2 linked regions of the Styela clava genome follow. The protein of the gene in region 2 binds, or shares a complex with, the protein of the main gene of each other region. Links are inferred from orthologs where the notes say so. Each region holds a gene or a part of one and is shown on either strand. Other genes may lie near its edges.

Region 1 (15,852 bases), on a different chromosome or scaffold from region 2:
CATTGAAAAAATAATCATTTTGTGAAGACATTAAACTCTGAAAATGACAACTTTTGAAAAGAAATTGAATAATATTTTCTGCATTATATCTATATACTGGTAATATTTTCACTTCAGGTCGCCAAACAAGACGGACAAGCCATGACCCTGTGCCACTGACAACTGAGCTCAGTGGTGGAAGCAGCTCAAGTTCGAATTCATCCAGTGTCTTCCTGATTCCTGGATCCAGTGTTCACCCTCCAAGATCCACAAAATCATTAAGGGAACACCAGAATTTTTCACCAGATACAAAGTCTACTGACAATTCAATTTCTCCTTTTGTGTCAAGTAGTAGCAGTAGTAGTTCAACTTCAAGTCCTTTGAAACTGACATCCACCAACACTTTTAGTACAGTAACAAGTCCTGTTTCAGCAGTAAGTTATGTTCGGTTTAAAGCAAGATTTTTTATAAAATGCCTGAAAAGAGCTCTGTATAGGCAGCCCCTGATATCTAATGATATGTAAGTTAAGAACTACCTTTTTAGATAGATTTAATTCCTTTCGGTCTACTCAATTTATGAAAACTTGAGTGAGGTGTATGGCATGTTATTTGAGTTCAACATTGCTGAACTGGAAATATTCCAGTCTTTGCAGAATTAATAGCTTTTTTCATATCATTAGATATCTGTTGTTTGTTTGCACATGGCCTTGTCCATAGTGAAAAGCGAAAATAAGCTTGGTATAACATTAAAACAATTTTATTCTTTTTCAGGGATCTTCTCCAGTTTTGAAAGAGGGTCGAGTTGTTCTTACCCCACTTTCTACAGAATTAATTTCTTGCCAAATTGGGGCTCTGGGTAACAAAATGAGCGGGGACATCGCTACCCCACCAACAAGTAACATCAATCCACCGCTATCAGGAAGCACTCCCATGATATTATCACAAAAAGATGATTCTGCTTCGGATATAACGACGTCAAATTCACCAGAAATTCCTTTCCCTGTTGATTCTCTTCATGGTACTGATATGACGTCGTTTCCTTTCGATAATAGTTCGGCTGTAAAAGGAGATGAAAGTGTGAATGGAAATAAAGAGTCGACTTCTGATCCTTCAAGAATTGATCTAAGTAAGGAAATTTATGATATAACAATCTTCAATTTGTTTTAACCATTATGTCCATGACTCAGATTTTGGTTTGAAGTAGACTTGCATATTAGTGACCAAATTCAGTTCCATAATGACGACCAAACCGCGTACATAATGACCTTGTAGGAAGGCATAAAATTATGCGCTATTCACCAGGCTCAAATCTGTGTAGTGATTACAGAAATTTGGCATTAGGATAACGCTGCACGAAACCTGTAAAAATTCCCATTTTGTTTTTCAATTTTGCTAACTAATTTTGTGGCACAGAATTGTAAGGAATACATATTCGGTCAATATTTATTACTTAATGTGACTCGATAACAAGTTAAAACAGCTTGACGACTTGTTTTCCGAGCAATTCTTGAAGCAATAGGCCACTTTCACAGTGAACTTACTATGCGCACTTGATAGTCAATGTTTCAATGGCCTATTGAATTGGCCAATTAAGTTTTAATGTCCGTATGGTACTCCTCAAGTATGCACACTAAGATGTCGCACAACCTGAACCATAACATGCTACACAGCCTGAGTTCAGGTTGTCCGCCATCTTGGCGCGCATACTTCAGGAGGTCCGGACGCATAATACTTTATTACCTCATTTATCCTTTTTTAGGTATACCTGTCCTTGCTCGACCAGCTAGGGAGTGCTACTATTACCCTGGTCTGTTGCAAACAAAAGATTCTGAATCTGGGAAATACACTGTGTATTTTGAAGATGATGGACGAGACAGACAAATACGAGAAACTGATATTTTATTAATCGATATGTTGCCTGTTGGGCAAGAAGTTTATGCTCAGAGTGACTCGGATGATTCTGCTGATTGGTGGTACAGTGCAGGTGATTACGATTACAATTGATGAGTTGAAATTTGTGATATCTGCCTTTTCAGGAATGTTCAGAATGATAACAGTACATTCGGAATTCAGATATTCCTGATGTTAGTAATTACTTCCTTTGGAAATTTGTCATCTTCGGCATTGGACATTCGAACAAAAAATGAACACAATTTTATTTGCCACACTGTGAAATAATATCAATAAAAACAATCTTTATCTTGAGCGTACTGCATTGCCAACATAATTTTTACAACAGTTATGTAAAATTGTCTGTTCAATATGACCCAATTTATTCCATATTCAACAATCTTCTCGTGTACTTGGAATAGTAAATTGTACAGTTACTTGTACATTTATCATATCAATATTTATATTTCAGGCACAATAGTGAGTTACTGGAGAGATGATGATGATAAACGAGGATATGTCATAACTAAACCTGCAGCCGGAAATAATAAGACTAAAAGGTTGGTATTACAGTTATCGAAGAGTTCAATAACTGGATAAGTCCATGCTCCGAAAACAAATAACTGGCTAACTAATCCCATACTCGACATGGACTGGTAACCGGACAAGAGGTCGTGGTTCGCCATATTATGATTAAGTTAACTTTTCTGTGAATCCTATCTTAAATATGTAAATCTCATCCTATCCTACCTATTATTCGTGAGATAAAACTTTTATATAATTTTCGCGCAATTATAAAGAATTGGCATAATAGGATGTTCACGAAGTCCTGTATTAAATTAGGTAAAAAGACATTTACTTCATGTACATGTAACTAGTTGTGGTCCTAAAAAGTGTATTAAAGGAAGTAAAAGAGCTCAAGTAAATGAGCATTGATTGAAATAAAAAAAAAAACTGGTTAAGATATATTGAGAACAGACTGCATGACAGAATTTGGAAATTTTTGAAACTTTATGAACACCTGCTGCACTGCCATTTTTAGACTGTGACTCTTTATATTAATTTATCTGTAGAAAAGAGATTTTTTGTCAATTTTATTTTCCATCATTGCTTTTATTTCCAATTTGCAGGTACACAAGGAAACAAGTTATTGTAAAACTTGAAAACTTGTCAAACGATTTGAAGTTATTGAAGCTGCAGCCTGCATCTGGTCTTACTACAGCAGATGTTAGTTTGGGTATGATGCCATTATTGATTTGGTAATAAGATGGGATTTTCATATTTATTCTGAGGGAGAGGAAAGTCAATAAGATGGTATTATAATGTGGCAAACCATGTCCTCTCATGTATCCATAATAGTTAGCCAGCTGTTTGTTTCCGATGAGTGGACTTAATGGTGAATGGAGTCTTACTCGACCTATGGTTTGGTTATGTAAACCACCCTATGATGGCGAAAAGTCCAGCAAACCTCTCGCACATAATTATTCTTGCCGGGTTCCTTGAACCTAAGAAGGTTAATCAGAGGTATAATGGCAAGCTTATTCCTAACGATTGACACAATGCACCAACCGCCTTTTAAACAGTATTCAAAAATTATTTGAATGACAGGCAGGATAATTAATGCAAAATAGAATATGGGTAAGAGATTAGATTTCGAGTCTTTTCCTTTCGACTCCTATCAGCATGATAAATATAAATGAATTAAAAATGCAGCTATTGACACGCAGTGGTTAAAACATTAGATAGAATCAAGTATGATGGCATAGCAGAAGTGAAAAGAGGATAATTATGTTGGATATTAATTAAAAAAGCTTAGCCAACTTCTTCCGTATCTAAAAGAGCGGTTTCCAACCGCTGGTCTGCGGACCGATGCCGGTCCGAGAAGCTTCTTTGCCGGTCCATGATAAGTTTTGTTGTTTTTCTGCTGTCTCAATCGTTTTACCAAAGTTGCGTTGTTTTATTAGGCAATTTCTCTTCTACCGTCATATTGCTGTTTGATAAGTGTGGTATTATTAATGGCCCTATGACGTCTTGGCGCAGAGTAATTTCACAGCATGATTTTGAGCCTGGCACCTAGTTACAGACTACTTGGTTAATATATTTTTTCGTTTCAGCCATTTCAAAATTTTTGCTGGTTTGAGAGAACATTTTATTTGATTTTTCTGGTCTGCCAGGGTAGAAAGGTTGGGGAGCACTAATCTAAGCTAAGATCTGTTAAAAATTTTGCCCACTTTACAGTGTGTATTCTTTTAGTTCTAAAAATCACTGAATTTAATTTTTTCAAACAGATAACATCATGGATGGTAAGAGACGTACACGTCGGTCAAGAGCAGCTGATTCTGCTGTGAGCAGCCCTGCCGCATCCAGACCAGGGACGCCATCTTCCACGACTTCTAAAACTCCTCGATCCTCAAGAAAACGTCGAGCAGATTCAGAATCTTCTGAGTCATCTTCCTGTGTACCTTTCCCAACAACTAAGAAATCAAAACGAGGGAAACTTAGTTACGGGAGTCCAAGAACTCCAGCAAAACGAAAATCTTCGAATACACCATCTAAAGGTGAGGTCAAATGTGAAAATATTTTCAGATGAATCAACCATTTTGTAATACTGTGAATTATGCGATATCATAAAACAATAACGAGAAACTGCGGTTTCGATTCATTTGCTCTTACTCCATAGTGACACCGTGTGTCCCATCACTAATTAATCAATAACTCGCTAATTATACGACATAATTCATCCAAAATCAATAGGCTTCTGGTCCGACATATGATGAATGCACATGCATAATTTGGAGCAGATTCAACCTCGATTTTGAGAGATATCGCGTGTATCTAACAGACAGACAGACAAACAAACAAACAGACAAATACCTATCAACATACTTACCGATCAAGATCGATAAGTAATGAGTAGGGATGGGCAATGTAGAATAATTTACTATTCTAGAATACTTAAATCAAATCTAAAATACCGAATCGTATTCTGTTTTTATAGTTATTTGAATAGCGGGAATTCCCCACCACATTGCTGGATTGGAAATTAAAGCAAAATTGTAAACGCATTACTTTCTTCGGTATCAATTGAAAATGTCCTAAACATTGGGAATTCAATACTTTGGGATTCGGATCCTCCGGATTTGGTATTCTAAATTGCCCATCTCTAATAATGACTGACATATTTCATTATTTTTTTAGGTGAACTAGGCGTCATGCCGCACAAAAAAACAATTATTTGGATTATCTATATTTAGAAGGACTGTAATCTTTTCTGTTTGGCCCTGCCTACCCTAGTTATAACACCCTGAGTGAGGTGTTGCCTATGTTACAAAAGTACTTTCTTCATAACTTTGCTCTATTCAGATATTTTCAACTTGAATCATAAATAAGTGAATGCCTATAGTTGAATAAATGGTAAATTACCATGAAATGTTGGTTTATTTGCTGTTTGGAAAAAGGATTTACAGAAGTTTTAAATTTTATAAATCTGACTGATTTGTATATATTTGGCTGCAATGTGCGCTAATTATTTTTTTTCCGGTACTTACAGTTGAGTTTTGAATCACTTCGAAAAAATAGATTAAATAAATAAATGTTGTTTTCTTAGCATCCATGACATACAAAGAAAGCAAACTATTTGAGAAATGTGGATTTTTACTGACTTCAACAACAGGAAAAGATCATCCATCATCCGAGTTTGATTCACCTCCTTGCACCAATATTTATGGATATGACAGGTAATATATTATAAACCAGGGCGGGCAATTTTTTTTTGCGAAGGGCGGGGTTCATCAGAAAATATTCTTGGCAAAGGGCTGCATTGAGAAATTGATTGTAATGTCACAGTTATTAATTCTATTCGCTATGATATTGTCGAATACAGTTGTGGCTTGCATTGTTGAACATTAATATTACTTAACAAATCATAGTTTAGATAATTTAAATGAAGTTAAAAAATAAATCCAAGTTTTGTATGTAGTTTTGAAAATGTTCACAACCCTTTTCCAAGAGCAGGGGGGGGGGGGTGCATAAATTCGTTGACGGGCAGTAGTTTGCACATTCTTGTAATAAACCATGATTAAGGTAGTTTACCAAAACTTTACATTCAAAAATTGTTTCCTTTTGGAACTGATGAACTAGTGAAGATCAGTTTGCATGATTTTGATAAAATTGAACCAGCAACACTTGGTAATTATTTTTGAAGATATTGCAATTTAGAGCAGGGTTTCTCAAATTGGGCCCTCGGCCCCCCTAGTGAGACACGGACAAGCCCTTCACTAGCTATCGTTCTCCATGACTAAATTAATTAAAAAAATTGGCTTCTTATTGTTAAATATGCTATAAATATCACTATTGAAAACTCTTTGGAACTCTTTGAAAGAAGGCCACAGGTATTGGAAGTTATTAATTTTCCTCACTTACATTGTACATAGCATGGCAATATTTTTCTGTTTTCCCTGAAGTTACAGGATCGTAACTCTCACGGTTCTTCACTAACCGAAGCATTTTTGCTTGCCCATTGTCACTATCTGTCGTGATCATCTGCGCAGCCAAAAGTCTAATTGACCGCTTTGGAGCTTTTTTGTTGCTGTGTGCTCAATTAGACTATACTGACACTCATGAGTTTCATATCAGTTTACATGCTCTGTACAGGGGGCTAAGTGGATACAAGACCATATATTGAGAGATGATAGTTGATTTTATATTTGTTTGGATGTGAACAACTTTTATTTCAATCTTTTACGCAGGGAAGTGTTGAAGAAACAAATCAATGCTGGGGATGGTGTTGTTGTCAAGGATTTCACGCAGTTGGTAAACTGATTTATATGCTCTGTCTCTGTGTAATTATGTCGACAAAACTTAGGCCTGATAATTAATACTTGTCTAGTCAACTTGACTGCCTGCATTTATTGGTAACAGGAAGTTGGGGTTGGATTAGAATTCCAAAATAGCTTTTGATTTTTGTTGAATCTATAGTTATTAAACAATATACTTGAGTTTTTAAATATCTTTTTCTCACCCGGTTGTCAGGTATGTGCTAAATAAAAAGAAGAATAGTTGGCGCTTAGAAGTGTGTGTACCAATATGGAGGTAACTAATTTTGGTCGCCTACTTTACATCAAGTTGTGTAAAGGGACTGAAACCTATGGGCAGGGGGTATATTCACTTGGCTAACACAAACAGTCCCCAAACTCATAATATAACTAAAATAAGAAAAATCGGATAAGCATTTTGCCCTAACGTGGCAGCTGGTACACATACTACGGGAGTACCAAATAGTTATCGAATTGAGCATATTCTGAATATCTTGAAAAAACTCTTGTGTTGTCATTTGTGATATATTATTTTGTTCACAGATGTCATGTGATCGAAGTGAGCTTTACGTCGTATCAGATAATTTTTGTCGAACAATGAATTATTTCAACGCACTAGCTGCGGGAATCCAATGCATATCTTATATCTGGATCAATGATTCAACAAATGCTGGGAGATTAAAAGCAATAAAATCCTATGTTTTGCCCGCTGGATACAGTTTGCAACATATGGGGATTGTGGAAAGGTAATGGATAAATTTAGGAGTTGTAAACAATGTTTTAGTTAAAGTTCAACCTCAATTTCATTAACGTTCTTCCTCACCATCGAATCAAACTGTAATTTAAAATAGAATATTGATATTTGAAGATTTGGTATTCTTGATTCAATGTAAGTAATCTAGAATAGTAAATTAAGCTGAGGGCGCCTCCCAATGTTTAAACTTTTGGAGCATTGTTTTAAGTCAACAATTGTCTTTTCGGTGATGAATTCCAATTAGGATTACCGGTAACCATAATTAGATTAACTGTTATCAGATGGTTAACGGTTGCAAGTTCTGTCATTCCAAGTATTATTCCCTTTTCTAATGTGTATTCGCATGATAAGAATTGCACATATTTTTCTATCGTTTTTGAAAGTGTTTCACTGAAGTGTATCCCAGCCCAAATTCCAATATTTATATTTAAATCATAACTTTTCTAGACCAATATCTCCAATCCAACCACTGTCTGGTATTCGTGTCAGTTTACATATGAGAGATCTAGCAACATGGAATCCTTTACTGTGCATTGCTGGTTGTATATCAGTTTCAACAAGGAAGGATAAATTGAAAACTGGTATGATAAAAGCATTAAAATTAAATATTGTTCAAATCGAGTCAAAAAGTTTGATTGATTTCAATGCTCTGGCAATTTAGGTTCCAATGGCAATAGCTCATCAGTCCTATTAGAACTTACGATTTTTTTTATTTATCCCGGGGAGAGTTAATCTTATCAAATGACAAACCACAATCTTTTGTTGGGTTGCTTGGGAATTTTAAAAAACCAACGCAGCAGCAAATAAAAAAAAATCGGAAAGAAGTGACTTGAAAGCATCTAGCGCCAAACCTCAATAGTCCAACCCTAAAAAATTGCCCAGTTAACCAGTTATTTGTTTCAGATGCTCGGGCCCTTATCTATAACCAGTCAGTAAATTACTGCAAGACATGTCTTTACAGGGAGGCAGAAGGTTCAATGCATTTTTGCTGTCATTGTCACTGTGTTATCTTTATTTCTCAGCTAAACTTAATGGCCCAGCATTCTCGCACCCCCATTGCACAGTTTTCGCACCTCTGGTAAATGAACCCAGTAACATAATCGAATCATTCTTTCTCCCTATTTGTTATTCACAACGCTTCTGCTCTTTTTAGTCACTGATAACACCAAATTAAGTGTTTTATAAAATCTCTCATGTTTTTTACAGATTGTTCTCTATCGTGTGACGTTGTGGTTGCTGATTCATCATGTGATCAAAGTATCATGGAAAGAGCGGAGAAACTCAAGATTCCTGTCGTGTCAATAGAATGGGTCATCCAGTGTCTTATAAACAATAAAAAATTACCTTTTATTGGTCATTCTCAATATTCTAGGTTTACTTGATCAACTTTTAATAATTTTCATTTTCTACGAGTTTGGTAAAAATACGTAAAACCTGTAACTATCCAATTAATTCATTAATTAATTCAATTCAATAATAGGAATTAATGAATGATAGTAAAGGTGTTTAAGGCTTTATCAATGTTGCGAAGCTAATCCTATTTAACTCTATTTCGAGTTGAAATTATCTGACTTACCTGACATAGTCAAGTTGCAAAAATACGACTCAAAAGACTTCATTTCGAACTGCATTTTAGGGTTTAGAAATGTTGCAAATCGATACAAGTTGATCTGAAATATATATGTTTTCTTCTGGTCCTCAGAAATAGATTTATTTAACAGTTTTGTTCAATCATTATTAGGTAAATTATTCATACAGTTTTTGTGTAAAATCATCAAAGCCATTGTTCTTGTTCTGCCAAATCGTGCAATATTTTATTCACTGCTGGTTCTGTACTCAACCATTTCAAATTTGTTAAATTCTTGCTTATTTTAATGACGGTCAATGTTATAAATGAAATAGTTTGATTTGAAGTTGAAATGCATTTAAATATAACAATGGAGTTGTTCTGGAAATGTTTTTAATACAAAAATATGATTTTAAATCAATGCAAATGTGGTGCATTGGAATGTCTTACTGGTGCTTGTGCAGTGAATCTCATATCTCTGTTTCAAAAATATAATTATCACATTGTTTGATATGGGTCTAACAGATCGTTGCCATCATTTAATTTTTGTTTTGTTTCGTAATTGCTGTAATAAACAACCCGCTGTCTTTTTTATATTGAAAAAATAAACCAAATGCCAAATTTTTGAATGAAAATTTGATAACGTATTGCTTAATTTCCCATGGTCACACAAAAACGTTATCTGTAAGAAATATGGGATATCTCTATAATGACGCAGAGAGAGTAAGATTGTTTATCTGTTGGAACTTAGAGCTAGATGAAATATCCCATTTGTGTACAGAATATCGGAATGTCATTTTACTGATTGGTGAGACGTGACTGGTGCCACTCATAAGTAAAACTTTATTTTGACTACATTACAGACGATGAAATAATTGATAAGAACAGAATAAACAGAATCGGGAGAGCAAACAAAACCTTTAGGTTTAAAACGTATGGATTGAAAGGTGTTGTCAAGAGGAGAGGTGCGCGTTCACTAACCCAAAAGCATTAAATTAATTATTAATACGTGCACGCGTATATACAATCACGGTGTCGGAGATACAATAAAGTTGAAAGAGAAAAAACTATATATATATATATTACTTGGTGAAAGGGGAAAAAAATACGAATAAAGAAAGAAATTTGCCACACCACATCAATAATTTTGTAAAGATTGCCAGATTAGATTAGTTAACAGGAGTGAGATGTATAGAAAAATCTTTCTGTGGTCAAGCTGACCGTTGTTGTGGATCAAGGAAGATGTATATATTCTCATTGGTTGGACGCATGAAGAGGTGGGCTATACCGTGTCCGGAAAATTCGCCGCAAGAGCATTTTGCTGTTAAACAAGTATTTGGGATAAAAACGGTCAGGTTTATAGGGTTAGGGCATGCCCTTAGCAATTTTTTTTAAATGAAAAAGTACTTCAAAAACCTAACTTTTTATCACAAATACTTGTTTTACAGCAAAACGCTCTTGCGGCGAGATTTCCTACGGCGAATTTTTCTAGAACTGTGCCAGTCATGGACACGCTGTCTCCAAGCTAGTTCTCTATTTTCACTTGTCTCTCACGACAAAATGGGACTTCAAAGTCGAGTGACCGTCATTCGTCCAAAAATTTTTTATTGTCCTTGATACCGAGATTATAATCGCCCAAACGCACAGGTTTCAACCCCTGTTCCGTGGGCTGCGCATGCCAAGTGTTTTCACGAAATCTAAATCCCAGAGTGAGTAAAAATAGTATCGTTCCATCATTAATGGTTGAGCGGAGAGTTGAGATGAGAATACAGCAATAGTGATTAAAAGCGTACGAAAATATTGAGTTGTAGTGGCAATTGAAAAAAGGATTATAACTTTATGAAAATATTAACGTGAAGAGAGGGCCTTCTCCAAACACGCCAACCAGAAAACAAAACAAAACGTATTTACATATAAAAAGTTAGAGTCGAATAAATGAACATTTTGGTTTGCCGTTACTCGGCTATGATTGGATCTTCAAATTTCCCGTTTGATTCTATCGTATTTTTAACAGCATAGCCCTATAATATTTATCATTTTATGCTTTTTGGTTTCAACTAAATAAGTTGATTTACCCAACTGGTAGCGCAGGCCCGATACCGGCAACCGGGCCGGACTCAAAAATTTGCAACAGCGTCTACTAGTGACAGAGACATAAAACACGTGTGTGCTGTGGGGAAATTCCCTTTGACTTGTTGAAAATTTGCTCTGCTGATTATTGTCTGTTCATTCAAGCTACCGAAATCAATCTTTCAGCATTATCGTTTTACCGTGAATAGAAAGATGTTTCTGCAATATTATTTGGACGATAATGGTAAACGAGTTTACACCATGAAAAAGGTCGCTCCTGATGGTTCGCCAACCCAGTCTGCTCATCCGGCAAGGTTTTCTCCAGATGACAAGTTTTCGAAACAAAGAATCGCCTGCAAGAGACGTTTCGGACTATTATTAACCCAACAACCAAAGCCTGCGATGTGAAAGAACATTTTTAAAACGGAATATGTAGGATAGTAAAAGCTCAACTAACAATTTCACTACTTTTATCGGGACAACCAAAAAGCTTTATGTGTGCATGTTACAGTGTTGAGAAATCAGAATGAACTTTACTTGTCAATGTGTCTTGCTGACTTACCATCACAGAAACGGAAATTATAATCTTTTAATATTCAAAGTTTCACTCAAACACTGAAAAAGGATGTTTCACTATAACCATGTGGTGTGTTTTATTGATAGATCAAATATCCCTTCTTTATCACAATGCTTTTAAACCCCAGTAATGCCATTTTTTCGGCTTCCCAATTTGTGTTTAATTTAGTAGATTTTAATTGTTGCTTTATTTGTGTGATTATATATTCAGATATTGCAGCATTTTTATTCACCTTTCATTAAATATTTGCTTACAACATATGCTGGGTTAATGCTGGATATTTTTCATTCAGAAAAGATTTCTAGACAAGCCACTTGTGTATGGAAACTACGAGATCAATTCTTTGAGTTTAACTGAATATCTTTTGTACTTTATTGATTTGTAAAGTGGTGAATAATGGCTGACCATCTTTCTTTCGGAATTATTTTTATTTGTGACTTATAGGCCTACTCGCACCAATGAGCATGCTGTTTGTGTAGAGTGGTGTAATGTGCTAACTACTTGAAATTTCAATCATATAATCTTCTGAATGCATTTTTCCATAGACACATTCAAATCTATTTAATATTGCGAATCAATTTCCTATCCTGTATTTTGATTTTTGTGTCTGACATTGAAAATGGACTCAAAGTTGTCTGGAAAACTGCTTCTCAAAACAAAGTAAGTTTTTTTCCTCTTATTTAAAAAATGATTTAAAACATGCAAAATTGTACTTTATTATCAACTAATGGTCCATAATTTAGGTGTTTAAAGATTGTTCTCTTTCTAGTTTTGCTTGCCCACCCAATCTATTGCACCTTGGGTTAGGTGGTGGGCATGGTATATGAACCCGAAATGTGTAACCCGCGATGTCATTATTCATTTCCTACTTTCTAATAACTAAATTGTTCTGTTATTTTTTAGCTTTGCAGTGAAGCATAAATGGGAGCCATTTTACACTGGAGGATCAGTAGTTTGTCATAATGATGGTAAAACATTGTTATGTTCATGTGGAGATTCTGTCAAAGTCATTAATATTGAAACTGGAGAAGTAAAACACAGTTTGTCTCAGGTTGGGGTGATTTTTGTTCAATTTAAATATGAATAAAAATGAAAGACTATCATTGTTTCAGCAATATAATGTTGGAGAGGTCGAACTGAAAAAACTCGACAGGTTTCTGAATGATGATTAATCCTATATCATTGTGAACAAGCAAATTCATAATCACTATCATACCCAGATCTGTGGAGTTTGAGTTCATCTTATTTATTTTTCTTGATATTGAACATGAGTTGACATTCTAATTTTTTTGAGTCCAAGTCCCATTTTAGACCCTTATTAATGATGATAATTGAGATACAAATTTTTAGGAAAACTCAAATTGCATTGAGTTAACTAAGCAGTCTCAATGGGCACTTTAAGAAGGAACGTGTACGGCATTGTGTCTTTTAACAAAATTAAGTTCGAAGCTGGAGAGTTGAAATTTCTTCTAATATGTGGCTAAAGTTGGATTCAAATGATTTGTCATTTCGGGAGTCATTTTTCAATATCTCGTCGTTTGGAGTCGGGGCTGGGTGTGAATTTTTAGCTAATCCAAACTCCGAGAATATCAAATTTTATATGGAAGCCTTTGTATACACAAGCTGTCTTTTATAGGCCCCATTTGATAACACTGTTTTAGTTACTTTGAAAACTTCTTCTTTTATCGCCATTGAAAGTTTGAAAATTCTGATCCGCGACTAATGGGTTATCCATATTGGACTCTGCCCCCCTAAATCCGACTCCACTGACTGCTATAGACTTGGTTTTAATCTGCTTTTCTATTTTTCAAATTTTTATGTTTTTTACCAGGAGGGAGATGATGTCACTTGTATTTTATCTAGTCCAGATAATAACATCATTGTTTCTGCCACAAGATCTTTGTTACTGAAAGAATGGAAAATTGAGAATGAGGTGGCAAAATGTGTGAGAACATGGAAAGCAATTCATACTTCACCAATTCTGTGCATGGATTTTGATGCGACATCTACACTCCTTGCCACAGGTATGAGCACAGAAGTAATTGTAGTCAAATAAAAAGATTTGATAATACAGCTCATAAAAAACTCCCAAAATTGTTACTTATCGATCTTTAGATCGGTAAGCATGTTGATACCTATTTGTCTGTTTTTCTGTCTGTCTGTTTGTCTGTTAGACGCACACGATATCTCACGAATGCGTGGTTGAATCTGCTCCAAATTTTGCATTAGCATTCATCATATCTCGGACCAGAAGCCTATTGATTTTGGATGAATTATGTCATAAAATTAGCGAGTTATTAATTAATTAGTGATGGGACACACGGTGTCACTATAGAGTCATGAATCGAAACCGTAGTTTCGATTGATAAGTCTTCGGTCTCCTACCGATATTCTCGTTTACATTTCAAAGGAAATTTAGCAATGCAATATATAGTTTGCTCTCTACTTGAAAGAAGTTTTGCAAAGTAAATTTTACATTGGCAAACTTTATCAAAATCAAATTCATCAGTTTAATGAGAAGTTGAAATATTTTTGAATTCAAAAAAAATGGAGAACGAATTTAAAACTGAAATGCACAAATTGGCAATTTCCTAAATTCAATTGGTCAAAGCGATGGATGAAGCACATTTCAAATGCAATCTGAAATTAGATTTATTTTGTGCAATCCTAATCACAAAATTCGCTTTATACATGAGTGTGAGTTTGGCTTGATTAATAATGGTTTTATGTTTGGATAATATTTTTGTCCACACTATGTACGTTTTCACGCTGCACCTTTATCCACATACTCTGAATCTAAATCTACTGAAATATCTAAATATCAACATGTAATTAGCTATTCTCTTATTCATTATTTAGGAAGCAGTGATAGTACCATTAAAATATGGGATATGTTGCATCAGTATTGCACTCATAATCTGAGAGGATCCCAAGGTGTAATATCAGTTGTGAAATTCCATCCACACGATTTACAATTGTTTTCTGCGTCTAATGATTATGTTATTAGAATATGGAATCTACACACGAGCAGGTATGATCTTTTATTCATTTGGTGATACTTTGTTTGATGAGTCTTGTGCAGGGGTGGGCATGGGCCGCGACGAGATTTTGACCAGCCCGCTGACTGTACATCAGTACATTATGATATTACATTATTACACTTTTAGTACATTATGATAAATTCATTATGAGTTTTTTGGTCTCTATTTTTTTCTAGTTTAATTTTCAATTTAAACACGATTTATAATTTTCTTTCTTGCATTAGTTAATAAATATGTGATTAAGATATTGAATACTATTCATGTTATAATCCGGCCTGCTGGGAACTTCATTTTCTAACATCTGGCCCGTCGACTAGAGAAGTTGGTACGACCACTGGTACAGAAGCTACTGAGACTTTACAGTAGAAGAATTACAGCATCGTATTATACTTTCACATCGTTCGCTATGAATAACGCTCTGAACAAGCTTCCATTGATATAAATGTAATTTTTTTTTTAAAAAGCTGGAAATCTCTCCAGTTCTGCATGATGTGGTGCGCAGAGGGTTATCCCGAGATATTTCATCTGATATGGCAACATTGCCAAAGATTGCACTTATTCTTAATTTTCATGTTTCAGTTTTTATTAACTAGTTCTCTGTTTTCAGATGCATTTGTATGCTGAATGGACATGTTAGTGCAGTTACATCACTTTCATTCATTACAAAAACTGAATCTCAAATATCTTTAATAAGTGGAGGAAGAGACAGTGTGTTGTGTGTCTGGGACTTGTCGCAATGTAAAGACAAAAACACTGTCGAACCAAATAAAACAATCCCTGTATATGAGACTATTGAAGGATTATTAGTTTTGCCAAACCAACATATTACTAAACTTATAAAGACTGCAATTTCCGATGAATCTTCGCATGTTTTAACTGCTGGAAGTAGTGGAAATTTGAGAGTTTGGAATTTATCAACCGGGAAATGTATATACACACAAAAGGTAAATATGTAATTCAAGGTGATACCTCTGGGTTGGATAGTAGTTCTAAGTGTAGCGTTTAATAAGCATATTTATTGTTCAATTAATAATATTTTATCTGTCTTCTACCTCTATCTACCCTTCTCTCCAAGCCAATTGATCTACTAGGCCTATTCTGAATACATTCTAAAACATTGGTTCTCAAACCTTTTTTGTTGAGGCCCTTCCCTTTTTAGA
Region 2 (17,370 bases):
CCGGGAAATCCCGAGTTCGGACTTTTTTTTTTTAATCCCGATTCCGCGATTATTTCCAAAGAATCCCGGGTTTTTAAGGCTTCGTTATCCACATATATAGATATTCTCACAAATTGTAGGATATACCATTTTATTTAATACTTATTTTGAAAAAAAAAACATCCATGCTTACAGTTTGAGTCAGTCAGACTAAGTGGAATTATTGTGCAAAATGTTACCGAGGAATTATTATTTGACTAGTAGAATTGCCATTATTGCCGACTTATTTAATCATCATTTGAACTCAAAATAGCATTCAGGATTTACGCAATGAGTTTGCAGGGTTTTTATTTACTATTTAATACGAAAATAAAAATAAAAACAGCCACAATAAAAAAGTAAAATCAAGAAGGTCAACTATCGTCTTCAAAAATATCCGCATTCCGGCGTCAGAAATAAAGGATTTTTAGCTTAAAATTAAGGCAGTTAATTTACAAACGGTGACAAAAAGATCAAAGCCGACCCAAAAGATAAACATCCGAATAAAATCCCGAATTCAACTCGATATTCGACAATTCGTTAAAATTATTCGATTCGATGGAAGTATACTATTTTATCCACCCGAGCTGTAATCACGCCAGCAATCTGGCGAAACGCGTGATAGTCCAAACAGTGATGCAATGAAACTTAATGAAACCTTCATAAATTTAGTAAATTGCACTACTTATTGACGATTACTTCATATCTCGAACACAAAAACGGTTATCTTTTTTTAGATAGTTTCTGATGATTTTAGAAATGGGAGAAACATATTGAATTGTAACAAAAATGAATTAGGTTGTGAAAAATTGACACTGCATGTGATAATAATAAGGGCGTAACGTAGAAAGGCGAGCAAAACCTAAGCGCGTGATCGGAGGCGCGTTTGAATGCCACGTATTACCCGTGCGGCCGCGCAACGTTTACAAAAATGTGAGGTGCTCCGAAGACGCTCTCGTTTACATTAATGCAAGAAAACAGTTGTAATATCGGCAACTATTAACCATTTTTTGCGTTCGACTATCGCACTCTTTATAAGTAGAAAATGTTTGCGTTTTGTGATAGGTGTGCCGCAAATATTTAAATAGCTAAATAGTGTGCCGCCATAAAAAAAAAGGTTGCTAACCACTGTCCTAGATGCTCTAATATATCTGTGTCGATATTGCATGAAATAAATAGGTGATTTTATTGTCATGCAAGTTGTTTCAATGTTTTACTTAATCCCGAAAAATTCCGGGAATATACGGTTCAATACCGGGATTTCAAAAACTTGCTCCGAAATCCCAACCCTAGTACTATGTGCTATCAAACTCCTCCGTTATGACGTAGGCCGCCGTTATGAGGTCATAGACTTAACAAATATCCAACCGTTCAGGGTTTAAATGGGCATAGGACCTCTCACCAAGTTCGGTTGTCAGGCGAATACCGGTACTACGAATCAATAAGAGTTAAAATAAAATGACGTCAATACTTTGTATTTTGCAATTTGCTAATAATATATTTATATTGGAATATATTTGGCGGACCGGCAGCAAGGTTGCCTCGGACCGACGGTTGAGAACCACTGGTCTAGATATCAAACTACCCAGCGTGTATCTTTTATGATGAGATGCAGAATCAACCTTTTTCGCTGCAGTTACCGATAGAGATTTCATTCTCTCATTCGTAAGTTCATGTATCACACATATTTCAATAGATATTTCAATGTAAGACTAGTAGTATCTTTCAGAAATAGTCTTCGCAGGTTATCATCAGAAACCCCGATCAAAATTCTGTACAAATAATTGAATAGATTTAGCTGACACCTGTGCTCTCATATTAATTTGATGTCTCGTTAGTTCTATGTTTGACTTGGGTAGGCATATTTTAGCAAATTTACTTTTCATACATTCTAGCTAGATCATTACGATACCCAGCAGAAATGTCACCTCTTGCTGACTCCTATGTGAAAGACTCATTTTTGGGCCTGCCCTTGTTTCCAACCAAATTGAGCAGTATGCGTGTTTTAGCTTTGTCATTCAGTGCTCCGGTGAAAATATCATATTCACGAACGAATGTTCTCCAGTTTTAGCAACATTTTCATCAAAAATCAGAGGATCGACTTCATGTTTGTTTATTGGTAAACACACAACTGTTCCGGAAGCTTGAGTGTGTCATGGATATAACACAGGCATCATAAATAATAGCACTAGGCAGCATGCAGTACCTCAAGAGAGAGAGAGAGAGAGAGCTCAACAGTGGCATCAAGAGACATAAATCATTAATAATGACTTCATAATTAGCATCTTACATATGTCACGCACAATAATCAATTTTCCACGTTTTCACAGAACTTATTTAATCTTTAGGTTTATTTGTTTACTTCTAGAGGTGATTTGTACTGAAACTTTACGCCCAGAAATCAATTATCCACGTTTCTACGGCGTTGTTTGTAGCTTTCTTTTCTCCATTTTTCTTGTATTCGACTATAAACATAATCAAATGTATATATAGGGCTATAGAAGATTTCGTCAGACTTTGGTCACATTAACATATTTTTATTGTATAGTTAAGAGTCGAATTCGAATTACTTGTTGGTAATTTGAAAAAGGGGACATTTTAGTCAAAATTGTTACTGGTGCTTGTTACACAGCATGTGAGGTAAAATTCAACGACAGGGAGCGAGTTAATTGCTAAGTAGGTAAAATTCTTATGTTGAACTGATTATATTCACTAATGATTTTGCTGTTTCACCCTACCCTGACTCAATATTCGAAATTGTATTTTTAATTGAATTATTTTAATCAATATTAAATTTTGATTTACTATATTCAATCAGTATTTTTTCGTTACGTCATTGGTATCATTCATAGTCGCAAATTATAGTGTTATTGTATATTGATTGTTAAATTGATTAAATTGAATTGATCCCAACTGAGTTATTAAATGTTTGTGTTATTCAGATTCATATATTTATTTTCGCCGAGCAGGAGACAGGCACGGATGGTTTACATTTATTTGTGGAAAATATATATGTAAGGAGTATTTATATAATATTTGTCATATATTCTTAGTGTAATTGGATTGTTGCACTAGGACGATTATGGTTTTCGAAAAATGATGGCACTTAGAATGAAACAAATTAAATCTTAATAAACCTCAACGCAAACCTATAGATAGTTGAATTTATTAATCTATGATTTTCATTTCTTAAACATAATCTATATGCTTCCATGTACAGTTTGGAGAGATTCAGACTAAACCTGCCCGCCGAGTGTTGAATAAAAACAATGCAGTACAACATTGGATGGATGTGATGGTGTATGTAACCGCATTACATCTTGATAATAGAATCCCCAGCCCACTCCCATACCCCAGTAACGGGCTACTGCAACGTTTAAGTTGAAATGTTATAGAACCAAAACTTTCATTTTGGAGTATTGTAAGTAATTTGAGTAATATTTTTCAGTTCTACATTATAAATTTAAAAATATTTCAACCTTCGACTACAATATGGCAATTTGTACTGGTGTAAACCTAATACTTGTAACGTTTATTATATATGGAGATTTTTCGGAAGGTAAAACTTGCGGAACTCCTCTGAAAAAGGACATTGAATGGAATAAGGTGAGTGATTAGTAGAAACTATGTTCTATGATGATAAATTTCATTAACTTTATGTAACAATCTTTTAGCTTCCAATGGGGCCTTATTATGATGTTCTGGATATCCCCAGATCACAAAAGCCAGTGGGGTGCTGGAATATTCAGAATATTACCGAAGAAAAAGATCGCGTGGTTATAGATTTGGCAACATTTTCGAGCAGGTATAGTATACCACTGCATTAACTGCCTAAGCATAATCACATAGTTATCACAATCACAGCATTTTGTTATCAGGCAACTCAGCATATTACCTATTCGTGTGGAGTTTTTCCGTACAAGAAAAAATGGTGTATACAAGATCAATAGATTTAGTGGTGAGTATATTTGGCGCTGCTATGGGTATTCCAACTTCTTACATATTATAAAAACTCACGTTGATGTTTCAACGATATGTTCTATATTTTGTGATTCAGAGTTGGAGTACAGAACGGCGTTTTATCATTTCAATGTTGATAGTAGCGTCGGAATACGGAAGCTTGCTCGTGCGGGTATGAACATTCTTTTTTTCTCTGAAATTTTTACTACTTGTGCTTTTTGGTGTTTCTTCTACTGGGAGGCTGTGTTAAAAACCTATTACTTTTTTGGCGAAACATTTTCGGGCAGTGTTGACTTTCACTGGTTTACATTTGTACACGTGGTATATTATTTTTATTTAATAATCATTGATGCAATTGGTATGGAGGCTATATGAGCTAAAATTAGATGCCCGTATGGCAGTTGCTCGAACATTTCTATAATTGTATTTGATCACAATGATGTAATCGAATACCAGTGGCAAGTGATGTGAGCCGTCGGTCAGTCGTAAAATTTGGGAGTCTGTCAGTCACGTAATTTTTTGAAAAGGCTCAGTAATTGAAAAGGGTTGGGAACCACTGCCCTGTGCGCATGAAAAGTATTAGCTTTTAGTGGGAGAACCCCGTAAATCTTACAAATTGACAAGCATTTAATTTAAAATGTTCTGATGTCGAATGAAGATGCTGCCGGCCTTTGTGCAAACATACGTCGGCAAGACTCCATCCTACTCTGCCATAGTGAATGATTATGTAAAGTAAAACCGATCTCATAAAATACTTTATTTTGGCTGAAATCGATAGCCAATCTGTACGAGTACAATAAAATCTTTCCTCGGGTTTACAGAGGCTGCGGACCTTGCTCAACACGAATTCATATTTCTGACTGACTACCAGACTTATTTCATGTTCGTCGGTTTTCAAAAAGAAGGTAAGTTTGGTAGATTAAGGGCCATCGCAGACTTTTGATTTAGAACATGCTTTGTTAATTGTCTCCTATATAATATGTGTGTGGATTTTGATTTTCAACAGCTGCGGCATCTTAAAAATCAACTTGAAATCAATTGTCTCGAAATAATTTGTTTTTAACACGGTTATTCATTACTAAATGATTTTTTATTAAACTTATATAGGCGTATGGTTTACGTGTGGTCAGAACTTTGAATCTTTTATTTTAATTGACTCTATCTGTCAACTTGTTCAATTAGTATTTAGTTCTATATTTTATTTTCATTGTCAGGTTGGATAGCGTACGTAAAAGCGACCACACCACAGATCACAGTCAGTCAATTAAACGACATATCGAATACACTAGTTGAGAATGGATTGAAAGCGTCGGTGATGGTTTTAAAAAATGAGTGTCTGAATGATGGCAATCCGGGAAGTGGTGTTGTTATTGTGTAAAAATATTTACGTGGCATATATCAAAATATAGTTGTAAATAGTCGGAATGCTTCAACAAAAATTAATGTACCATTTATTTTTCGTCAATCTTATAATAAGATTCACAAATCTTCATTTGCTTTCAGTCACAGAGAAAAAGCAAGCAAAAATTTTAGAATGGGTCATAGTATCATAAAGTATAAACAAAGTGCAGTTACAAAATATCTACCAAAATTATTGCAAAACCCTATTTGTGAACTTTAGAAAATTTTTCAGTAGGCCTACGTAAAGTGTTATCAAGAAAAAGCCTTTTTTTGTTATAATTGTACGTGCATTCGTTGCATAACTATCTGGTAAATCTTCTAGGAATGACATTATTTGGTCGTACCGATATCATACTTACAACCCCATGTGTATATTCCTTAATATATAGCTCAATAGGCATGCTGCAAAATTTTTTTGGACTAGCACAAAAGTTTGTAGGGAATATTAGTAATTTGCACAAAATGATGATTCAGATAGATCTAAACTAGTCAAAAAACCTTTTTCTTATTCGAAAAAAACTCTCTTACCTAACACGTTTGTACCACATAAGCTAAAACTCTAATTGTCCCTTTAGCAAAAGTATAACTCATTTAACACGTCACTGTGAATCTGTTTACGATAGCGTCGAACTTCTATATATATAAGTCGTACGCTATTGTAGCAGTGGGCAGTGACGGGTGAAGAGTGGAGTAAAGAAGTAATCAGCATCAACAATGTATTCATTAATATAAAATAAAGATATCCTAGTTTTCTAATTGCTCGATTTTCTTCATGTGTATTATCTATTGTATTTAAAATAGTAAAATTAGGTAACGATTCCGTTTCCGCTGATATGTACAATGTCAATTCTGAGACACGGTTGGCTTTGCCATTGAAACAAAACTATATTCTATTCTTTTATGACTTCCCCAATACAGTACTTTGGTTTTTACAGAAACACATCTTCTTAGTAAGTCAAACAAATAACACTTTGCAAATTAAGCCCTATTTTTATCGTAAAGCCGTAGAGACACAAAGCATATATATGCTTCTTTTTTAATTTGAGAGTAACCAATGAATTTCATTTTTTCCTGTTGCATGTTGGTCTGAAAAAAAAATGCATTCAAGTGGTAATTATACTGTACTATAAGAGCATCGTCTCATGGCAGGAGGTTTTTGTTGATCGCTGACTAGGCCCTTTTTTGTGTTGATAACAACAAGAATATTTACAAAATCTATAGGTGGACGTTTAACGACCGAAAACTTTTGGGAAGGACATAACTCTTGCTTAATTTGAATATGCAAACATTACTTACTGCTCGTGCGTTATAATTGAATTATAACAATGTCCGAATCTTGGTGTGTTATTGGTCCCTTCTAATATAAAGTAATCAAGACTTGGGGAAGGTGTCCTGTGTGACACGACAAAAAACTAATAAAATTATTTAAATACTTACTGTAATTCAGTTGTGTCAGTTTTGTCGAGCTGGCATTGAAAAATAAAATGAAGTAGCCTTTTATATCTTCTCTTAAATGCGGGATTCATAGCGCCATATATAATAAAATTTAGACAAGAGTTTGTTAACGCCAGCCACACTAAAAACTAAAAAAATGTGTATGGTATTACATAGCACAGGTGTTTGTAAGTAATAGCAACATATCCATTCATTTACTTCAATGTTTTTATATGATTAGTTTGCTACGAGTACGTTGTTAGAAAACATATACTGCAACCACTACACATATGCTAGTATTTGAAGTAAACGTTAAGAAATGATCGATTTCTATTGAAATTCAATATTTGAACAATTAAGCCTATATGCAATCATATAAGATCTAATAAGTAATGACATCGTGGTGATAACTCATTTCATGATATTAATATAGGTAATTATGTAGGCTACGTACGGTAACCGATTATTAAGTAATGTACTGTTGATATGCATAAAGAAGTGATTCAATTTTTGTAATAATATCATTTGAATATAGTTTATATCTTTCTTCAATTTTAGAAAGGGTTTAAATTAAGTTAAAGTCAGCCGTTATTCAGATTTCTCGAAAAATAAATTTTTTCTTCCTTCTATTGTTTTCATACCGTTAATGTTTAGTAAAACAAACACACCTTTTTCAAGTGTGGCCTTATATCTCCTGGGTTTATCATAACATGTAGGGCATATGGAGTCCAACACACAAAGAATATTACAACTGCAGTAAGCAAAGTGTATGTGAGATTTCTTTCTCTTCTAAGCGAAGGTTTTCTATCAGAATAATTGGCCAAAGATGTTGAACCCTTTTTCCTAAGGTTTCTAACCCAGCTTCTGTTTTTGTTCACTTTTCTATAAAATCAAAATGATGAGATGTATTTTCGCAATGCTCTGTATTAGATATTTTTATTCAGTATTTTATTTCTTATCTATATTATTAATTATTGTTAAAATCTTTGATATATTTTCACTACAATAAATTACAGATTCGTTACATTACACACATATAAATTTCCGAAAATTGTGATGTCGCTGATTTGAAAATAACTAACATACACCGGTATCGGTACATTACTATACTCACCTGAGAATTTCAAAATAACAAAATAGTATAGTCATCAAAGGTAAGACTACGGCTGCCAGAATGAGGGCAATCGAATATGATAATGAAGCCATGTCATGCCAAGCACAAATCAACGATTTTGCATCATATCTAGAAGTAAATGTTAGTGTGTAGGTATATATATGTCAGAAAAGGGCATGATCTTTTATATTTTAGACAATAGTAAGTCTAAGTTCCCTATGGTAAGGGTGACCAGAAAGCAAAAGCAACTTCAAAATGTATAAATATGCAACCTGATGCATTTATTTCTAGCTTTCTCAAATGTGTATTCTTAAAATAGCGCAGAGGACACTAAGAGAAATTAAATATTGGAGAAAAATTCCTGATTAAAATTCGTTTGTGTAAATGTGACTCAATGCGAGAATTTGGTCAAACCGTAAATAATTGAAATCTTTGATACATTTTTTCGGGTTCATTATAAAATGTACTTACGTGATTTCTCCCCATCCAGCCAATGTTGGCATTGTGATTAGGCATGACCAAATCCATGACATTATTGCCATAAAGATTCCGACATTTTTAGTGAAGTATTTTCGATAAGAAACTAGTTTTACTATCGCCCAGTATCTGAACAAATAATACATATGTTTAGATTGTTTACTAGTATTGATTTCATGGTGCGAAGAAACGACCCTAAATAAAAGTTTAAATGTTTATTTCTGCATCTAAGATTAACTATTTGAATAAAACTACTTTAGTATTTAAACGACTCTAATTATGTACTTTAAATAAGTCTATCAATCATACCATTTGGGAAATATGAAGCCTCGATTGGACTTAATTGAACTATGGTTAAAGGCCGAATGCCTGATTTTTTGGAAACTTGAAATATACACCAAAACCTTCTAGTGGGAAGGAAGAGACAAAAGAATGTTTGGTATGTCTATGAGGTGAGAACAACCTTATCGTCTGTTTTTGCTTTGTTAGACGATTACTCAAATAACTTTTTTTCTTACAAAAAAAATTAAAAACCATACCTATTGAATGCAATCAGAGCCATATTAGCCAAAGAAGAAACACAAGTAATGGTGACTATGAATCCAATTATCTGACAAAATATTCCATCAACGATTCTTTCGCTTCTTATTATTGATGCTGCTATGCAAGGTAAGGTCACGGAACACACCTACCAGTAGAAGTCAATGTGAATGAAGCGTAAGATTTGCTCTGAAAGCAAATACTGTAAGATTCGTTGGCGCGATATAAATATATATATCGATATTTTCGCATATTAATCTAAATTCTAGTCTAGGAATAAAATTCACAAAGGCCAGTTCGTGTTTTTCAACAAACTGACTCTTCTACAAATACCGTTATTCATATGAATTTATTCTTGCCCTGAATGTAGTTAATTTTTTGTACTCTTTATTAGTGGTATATCAACCAATAACAAAGAAAATTGCAAGAACATTTTATATTCTTTGTAAGACTCAAGTTAGGATTATCTCACCAATACATCAGCCACTGCCAAATTAATGATAAAGATATTCCCAGATGAATGCACTTTCTTCTCTAGCACGATTGAAAATATAACGATCAAATTACCGATTGTTCCGAGAAGTATTATTGACATGATGTAAATAAACTCGAAGTACTGTGAAACGAAAAAAAAATTCTGAATATTACAAAAATTAATGAAAATAGAAATATTTTGCGCTTTGCATTGGTTTTAATATTTAAAATACTTGCCTGCAAAGTTCCAAAATTTGGCCAGTAATTCGTGTCGTGATGTTGTGGGGAAACTGTAGAATTTTCATCTTCCATCTCGAATATTATTTAAGCTCTTGATGCGTCAATTTTCAGCTATGATAAAAACTAGTTCATCCGCGATCCTTTCTCTGCCAGCATGTACTTTTTACAAATACAAATAAAATACCACCACATGTTCAGGCGGATCAGCTAAAGCTGACTGCCCGAATGTGCCATATATCAACTCGCAAATTCCGACAAATAATAATTGATGGTAAACCACTCTAACGGTTCGAGGAAATGATGAATTGTTTGATCTTAGTAAATACCACACGTTAATGGTCAGGCTGTGAAACAACTGTAAAATAGACAAAAAAATGTGTAGAATAGAACGTAAAATTAACACTCTTCTGTTGCCATTTTGATTGAATTGTATTATAGCAAACAAATATACTAAAGGTGTATTGTGCTCGTTTACAACTGGTTGTGCGTTCTAGTGTAATTAGATTAGAGTATGTGATATAATCGTATATCTATTTCTTTTTATTAATGCTAAACCCAATTGAACTAGCAGGATGAACTTCTTTACAGTGCACGTAAGAAAAGATGAAATGTAGGCAATACTTATACGGTCAATAAGCATACAAGGTATATAATAATCATATACCAGTTAACAGAAAAATGTCTTATTCGTCATGATAACCTATTAAAAATCTATTAAGGTTGAGCGAAAAAGTAGTTATTCACATTTTTTCCCCTTGCTTGAAGGAAATTTTTCGGAAATACTACAAATGTTTCGAATTTGAGACATACTTGAATTTGAGACATACTTTTGAAATTTAACCCCAACTTTCCGTGCTCGATTATAAATCATGCGTAAAAACGGTAAGAACAAAAAAAAAGCACTTTGATATTTAAATGCCAAACTGAATCCGGGTAATAAAACGACGTTGTTTACTAGTATCAAACATTTGGTAAATTCACCAATAATTTCTCTACAATGAAAAGATTTTTCTCAAAGCCATATTTGCAAACGCCAATTAGATCAAGATTTTTATCTGTCCCAAACTCTATATTCGAACATAAAAATTTTAACCAATTATTTTGTTGTATATCGCAAATGTTTATGATATGTCTAACAGTATTTTCCAAGGACACAATATGTTGCCTTCCTGACACGACATCATTAGTTGACGTAGGAAGCGCGTAACTACGAATGTAAATCATGTTTGCTAAGCATAGAACACAATATGGCAAGTATGTTGTTTAGAAATAACATCATAGCATAAAACAAACTTTTGTCCGTTTGAATTAATAATCTGTGTATGATAAATTTCACATAATGATACAGATACCACGACGTTTTCTACATATTTGTCTTGCAATAAAGCAAATTCGAACATGTGAAGTGCTTTAATTCAGTATTCTCTTTTGTTATATACCAGACATAAGGAGAAGCTTCAGCATAACAGTTTTCTCATTCACTCAAACTTCAAACAAACTAAATTCATCATGATTGCAGACAAACATAGCATACTAGTTTCATGCTTAAATGTTACGTCAAATTTTTCTTGCCTAAAACGTCAACGATATTTCACCCAAACCTTGTTTTTTCTCATGAGTACACCTTCATGTAATAACATTCGATGCATTCGGCAAGGAAGTTTGCTGTAGCCATTTGACTTTCATGCTGACAAAATTATACTTGAACAAGCTTTCTTGATCCCATATAAATTTACTACGCGGTAAAATTGTATGCGCGTTTATTGAAATACTCATGCACAATTTGGACACTAGTTTTTAATATACATTTTACTGTAATTCCGTGTTTTGTGGGACAGTTCGTTTCAGTTATGTGCCTTATCTTCACACATAAGCTTCAAAAAACACAGATATGATTCCAAAATCAAATGCATTTGCAGCAATTGCACATTACAAAACTTGAGTTTAAAATATTCAAATTTATTGGTTTCTAGTGGGATAATATTGGTATGGATATTATTGTAAATAAAAGCATGTGAGATAATTGCTAACAAAATTATGACGATCAAAATTTATATATTTTCTGTAGGATTTCGTCCAATGCAATTCTGAAAGCCTGCATTGGGAAATACATTGGTACACTGGTAAAGAGATACCCCTACACAATATACGTGTACTCCGACAATAAATACTCCGACTTTCAGCTGTGTTACTGATATGCATCCTATACGACCATATCTCGAAATCAACTATTTTTATTAGACTAACATCATATGGGTGAAACTATAAACTAATATTGAAATTCATATATTATATACATAAAAAAAACATAAAAATTTCCAAACAATAATTACATAACAATTTGTGAAAAATATTCACGTAAACAAATATGATTGAGTTTAATGAATGACCAACGAATAGAAGGATGACAACAAAGACGAAGCTCTTTGACAACCATTTTTTCTCATTCTTCTTCTCTGTTGCTCTTGCGATAATTCGTTTTTCTTGACGACATCACTGAGTCACTAAATCAAAGAAAATTGAAATTCCCATTGGCGTTAGAAGTAACACTCAAATGAGTATACTAATTAGTTTTCTGAGAATGCACTGAGCGAGAAGGTTGTTTTGTGAGAGCGTACTATAGAAAGAATGAAACCAATAAAAAAGACTATTTTTTAAAAAAATATTCGGCTCAATAACATTTTTTGTAATTCCTTGAGTAAAATATTTTAATATTTCGGTTAGTTAGTTATAAAACAAAATTAATTCATATAATATTGAAAATTAATGTTAAAAAAACTCTTTTCTAAACTCACCGCATTGATTCAGAATGTCCAGTGTTCTTTTTTAAGCAAAAAATGAATCTGAAGAGTTTTTTGTATCTTTTTTTAAACGCATTATTCATTGTTCCGTATATTATAAAATTCACACATGAGTTGCTGAGTGCCAACCACACAAAAAACTGAAACAAAAATTAAAAGATTTTTTAACATCTTTTTATAACAATTACATGTAGGTTGTACACGACCATGAGAGGGTAACTTTGCTTGAAACTGTCATTAACTTATGGATTCTCGTACCCAAGATTATATATGGGAAGTAAAAGTCTCATAGCTCGTCATTATAGTGTAGAAAGCTATTTAGTTTAGATATATATTAAACTTCTAGGCTACCCTCAGGACTGCGATTAATATTCTAAGGTTTGGGCATTAGGGCACTCGCTTGTGATTTGAAAAAAGTCACAATCAACAGAATTATACCAAAAATTGCTATGAGGCACTTTCTTGAATGCTGATCCCAAATTTTGATTCACTTTACCATTTAGTATCGCAAAACTGAAGTAATGTCAAAGATATTTTACCGATTTGATGAAAAATAAATCTCTTTGTGAGTGAGATATCTACCTACCTTCTTAGCATGTGGTCTCACGTCTTCAGGCTTTATTAAAGCATGTGCAGCATACGGAGTCCAGCAAACAAAAAACACAATCACCGTTGTTAACAATGTATTTATTAGACTCCTCGTCGCTTTCATTGAATGAGACGCAGCGCCTTGCGATGAAACACTCCTTCTACCGAGACTTTCCACATTTTTACTGCTTTGGCGGACTTCTCTAAAATTGGTTTTCGAATAAATTAAGTGTGGATAAAGTTGAGTGATTTCCTAAATATTTTTACCTGAAAATTTTGTAGTAGCAAAATATGATAATTGCTAACGGTAAAAGCACTGCCATGCCGATAAGAAACAATGAGTAGGACATCGACTTTGTTTCGTCCCATCCACACACCAACGACTTTGGACTGTATCTAAGAATGATTATTTTATGGATTTGGTAATCATGGTTTATTACAGAAGTAAAATAATAAAATAAAATTTCCTATTCTTACATGATTACGCCCCATCCTAGCAAGAGAGGCATTGTTAGGAGGATTGACCATGACGCGATTGTCAATGTAATCCCGATACGTTTAGTGAAAATTCGACGATGGGACGCAGGTTTCACAATAGCCCAGTACCTTGAAAATAGAGAGGAATTTTTGAAGCGTCTTTTCAATTAAATCAATATTGCATTGCAGATAATTAAATCTCTTATGCTTACATTGTTTGCTTTGGTTGGGAGCAACATTGACTTATTTTTAATTACATGAAAAACCTGTTGTGAGTTCGAATATACGGATTATGTACCATCTTTTAAAATATTTATATCGGTCAATTTAAATTTAATGCCTATGTATACATACATACATACAGTAATTTAAATCATCAAAAATTTTTGGGAACATAAATAAGGATTAGAGTATTTTAGACTTTAGAGTATTATGCGATATCATGTGAAACAATTAATTAATTTTTACATTAGTTACTGCCACAGTTAGTGTAAAGTTTCTATCTTGGAGGATATTATTACTCTAATTTACAGAATGGACTAAGGTGAGTGGATGGTTTTGTAGAAACTGTTTCCTTACAGTATATTGTACCTAGTGAGAACTGAAGAAAGTATAGTTAAATGAATTATTTGCTTGTGTACTAACCGGTTAGCGGCAATCAATGTCAAATTACATAGAGAGCAAGCACACGTTGTCGTAGCCAATAATCCGGCTATTTTACAAACAACGTCGTCTAGTGTTCTATCTCCTTTTATTACCGTTGCCGCTGTGCATGGCAGAATGACGGAACATACCTGTATTTCAAAATAGTTATATTCGATAACCGCACAAAGTCTCTTTAACAAAAGTTCACCCGTTTGCGGTGGAATGAATGAGTGATAAGCAATCAAATTGTTTGAATTTGTCCGCTGAAGTGGGTATTCAAAAGCATGTTCGCTATTTCTAATTATTCATAGAGCCAAACCTCGGTATCTTACTGTCATGTGGACGCGAACATTATGATAAATATGAGCAAATTGAATTTATTGAACAATAACTTCAATAACCAATACTTGCCAAAAAGTCAGCAATTGCCAGATTAATTATGAATATATTTCCGCCAGAATGTACTTTCTTGTCTAATATAATGGAAAATATAACGATGAGATTGCCGAAGGTTCCAATTATGATCACTGCGAATAGGTATACAGCTTCGAGGCACTAAAACACAAAATATATAAGTTGGTGATTTGGCTAGAGTTTTGTTTAATCACATTCACAGCAATACATTTGTATTTACAATTTAAAAAAAAGACAAAATGCAAATATTATACCTCAACTAATTTCAAAACTGTTTTATGATGTGCACTTTTGATACAGATGGAATTTTCTATACCTACGGCCAATATTGTTCTACAGTAATACCAAACAGACATTCACAAATCGGATTTCCGAACAACGGTTGATTTTTCAAACTGGGCTTTAGAAAGGGTACATGATTAATAAGTCCGCGTAAGAAAAACCTAAATGAACGACAATCATGAAATTGTTTTGTTATCGAGGAAAATGTAGTGTATTTCCAAAACAGCGATCTTATCGATATGGCTATTCTTACAATTGAAAAAAGAAATTCTTCAAATGTTCATTTTCAATAAACTATCAATTAATTTGAAACTTGAAATTTCATTTTGAATTAACCAGATGGCACGTCGCATACTATATGTGTACTTATTTATCTAATTACTTTCAGGTGTAATCGACCTTCTGGCAATAATTCTTATCTTATAAATTGTTTTCAGTACGTCAATAGGAAATAAATGATCTAGTCAAACAATATCCATACGATATGTTTGGTGCGCTTGCAACTTCATGTATTTATTTGTTTTTGCACATTTATGAGCAACTGCGAGTTTGAACTTCACTTTAAGATACTTTTTGATCAGTTTTTATGTACTGATTGATTCATGCAAGAATGCGAGAATTTATATTTTAATCACTTGTACTTTCTAATTATAATATTATTGCAAACTCTTGTAATTCAATTCTGCACATGATTCACATACTTTGATCTATAGATTCATACTGCAATAAAATTTGATTATTCATGAAAACAATATTATAGGCGAATAGATCATACATATATATTTGGAACACATTAAAATTAATCTTACCTGCAAAGCTCCAATTTCTGACCAATAAATCTCTTCTGTGTTATTCATTCTATAAGTTCATTAATTTTCTACTTTTCAACCAACCGAAATTCAAATGCTTTTATTCGAAATATAAAATGAGCTTTGCATACGCACATGTAGACGATTATACTTATATAAAAGATCATTTCAACGACTATATCGACACTAACCAAACGTAAGGTATGACATAGCCCATAAATGCTTCCTTACTCATACAAACAAACAGATTTTTTATTGGTACTTGGCGTCTTCCGATAATTTGTTTCTATTGTTGACGTGTTTTGAGTAATTACGTCTATAAAACGACTCGTCGTAAAATATAGATTTCTGTTTTCATAAAGTGAATTTTTTGTATACTTCAGCGGGAAAAATATAGATTATAATAGATTACAATTATTTTTCATGACGTGATTCAGTGTTGTACGTCAGATCAAAACTAGAAAACTATCTATTAGTTTTTTGAAAAATCCTAGTACTACTGCATTTTAAGATAGCCAAGTGTTAGTACTATGGGTGGGGTCGTGGGATTCAGTTAAATTCGAAGTAAAAGAAAATACTTTATTCTCAATTACTGTAAAATACTACAAACTAACATGAATTGTGGAAAACACTCCACGTACAGCCATCAAATGAAACTATTATATTAAAGAACGAACAATCCTAAAATTGCAGACATACTGCAACGATGTATTCACAATTCAGTTAACATATAAATACCACGCATTTTATTAAATATCACACGCAGTGAATATTTTAGTCTTCCATGAATACTAGGTAATTCTAAAATTTAATTACTCCTTATTTTTATACAAATTTGGGAGCTCCAGAAGTATGTGTACAATATGGGGATAACTAATTTTGTTCGCCTACTTTACATCAAGTTGTGGTAAGGGACAGAAGCCTGTGGCAGGGGGTATATTCACTTGGCTAACATAAAAAGATCCCTAAACTCGTAATGAAACTAAAAAAGGGAAAAAATGAAAATAAAATTATGGCCTAACCGTAACCTGGTACACATAATTAGTACCCAAATTTGCACGACGCAAGGACTTGAATCCTAAAAGAAAATGGAAAGAGTATGAGAGTTTCAGTTGCTGAAGCCAGGGAGACAAATCATGTTAGAAAATTATCTCCAAAATTGCTCAAGCGGATTAAGATCAGTTGCAGTCACACCAGCCAGATTGTTTCATTATTGAAGTACAAACGTATCTTCTTAGTATGGCATATACGGTTTCTTAAATATTGAGATCCCGGCGTACCATCAAACGGGATTGATGTATATTGTTTCTATAAATTTTTTCCGTTAGACTAATTGATAAAATCATAATTATTGCTGAAATCTTGAAAACTTGATATATATCTTAAGTCGTATTAAGGTTGGTATATTGGAATCGATGTCACGAAAACGTTATCCGAAACTGTCTCCAATATTTTTAATATAATATATAAACCATTTTATACACAATGAACCGAACAAACTACGACTTGAGTTACCTTAATGCAACATTTTTTTCTGCAAAATACTCTGTTCTTTAAAAACCTAGATTTACGCTATAGTTCATTTTTACATAACTCCATTATCGCACATGAATGTTACTACAAAACTTGATTCTCACGAAACTACATTATCTCAAAAAAATTTTCGTGCCGAACTACATTGTCACCAAAGTCCGTC

The links.
Region 1: H/ACA ribonucleoprotein complex subunit 2-like protein (region 2) and H/ACA ribonucleoprotein complex subunit 3-like share a complex: the UniProt entries of both Drosophila melanogaster proteins name them as parts of the box H/ACA small nucleolar ribonucleoprotein (H/ACA snoRNP) complex. The link is inferred for Styela clava from reciprocal best matches to the Drosophila melanogaster genes NHP2 and Nop10.

What each region holds. Positions count from the first base shown.
Region 1 is NC_135263.1:5,478,420-5,494,271, forward strand, and holds H/ACA ribonucleoprotein complex subunit 3-like, read left to right. Parts: upstream 1-11,170; 5' UTR 11,171-11,287; coding exon 11,288-11,482; 3' UTR 11,483-12,197; downstream 12,198-15,852. Other genes in the region: uncharacterized protein LOC120341376, read left to right, coding at 118-413, 751-1,105, 1,739-1,963, 2,342-2,429, 3,000-3,106, 4,158-4,427, 5,477-5,606, 6,618-6,681 and 3 more; transducin beta-like protein 3, read left to right, coding at 12,271-12,311, 12,555-12,702, 13,483-13,675, 14,511-14,682, 15,300-15,636. UniProt on the Drosophila melanogaster protein: Component of the box H/ACA small nucleolar ribonucleoprotein (H/ACA snoRNP) complex, which catalyzes pseudouridylation of rRNA. This involves the isomerization of uridine such that the ribose is subsequently attached to C5, instead of the normal N1.
Region 2 is NC_135251.1:15,273,758-15,291,127, forward strand, and holds the start of H/ACA ribonucleoprotein complex subunit 2-like protein, read left to right. Parts: upstream 1-8,821; 5' UTR 8,822-8,836; coding exon 8,837-8,856; intron 8,857-17,370. Other genes in the region: uncharacterized protein LOC120336681, read left to right, coding at 3,511-3,624, 3,693-3,823, 3,897-3,976, 4,076-4,150, 4,800-4,883, 5,193-5,356. UniProt on the Drosophila melanogaster protein: Component of the box H/ACA small nucleolar ribonucleoprotein (H/ACA snoRNP) complex, which catalyzes pseudouridylation of rRNA. This involves the isomerization of uridine such that the ribose is subsequently attached to C5, instead of the normal N1.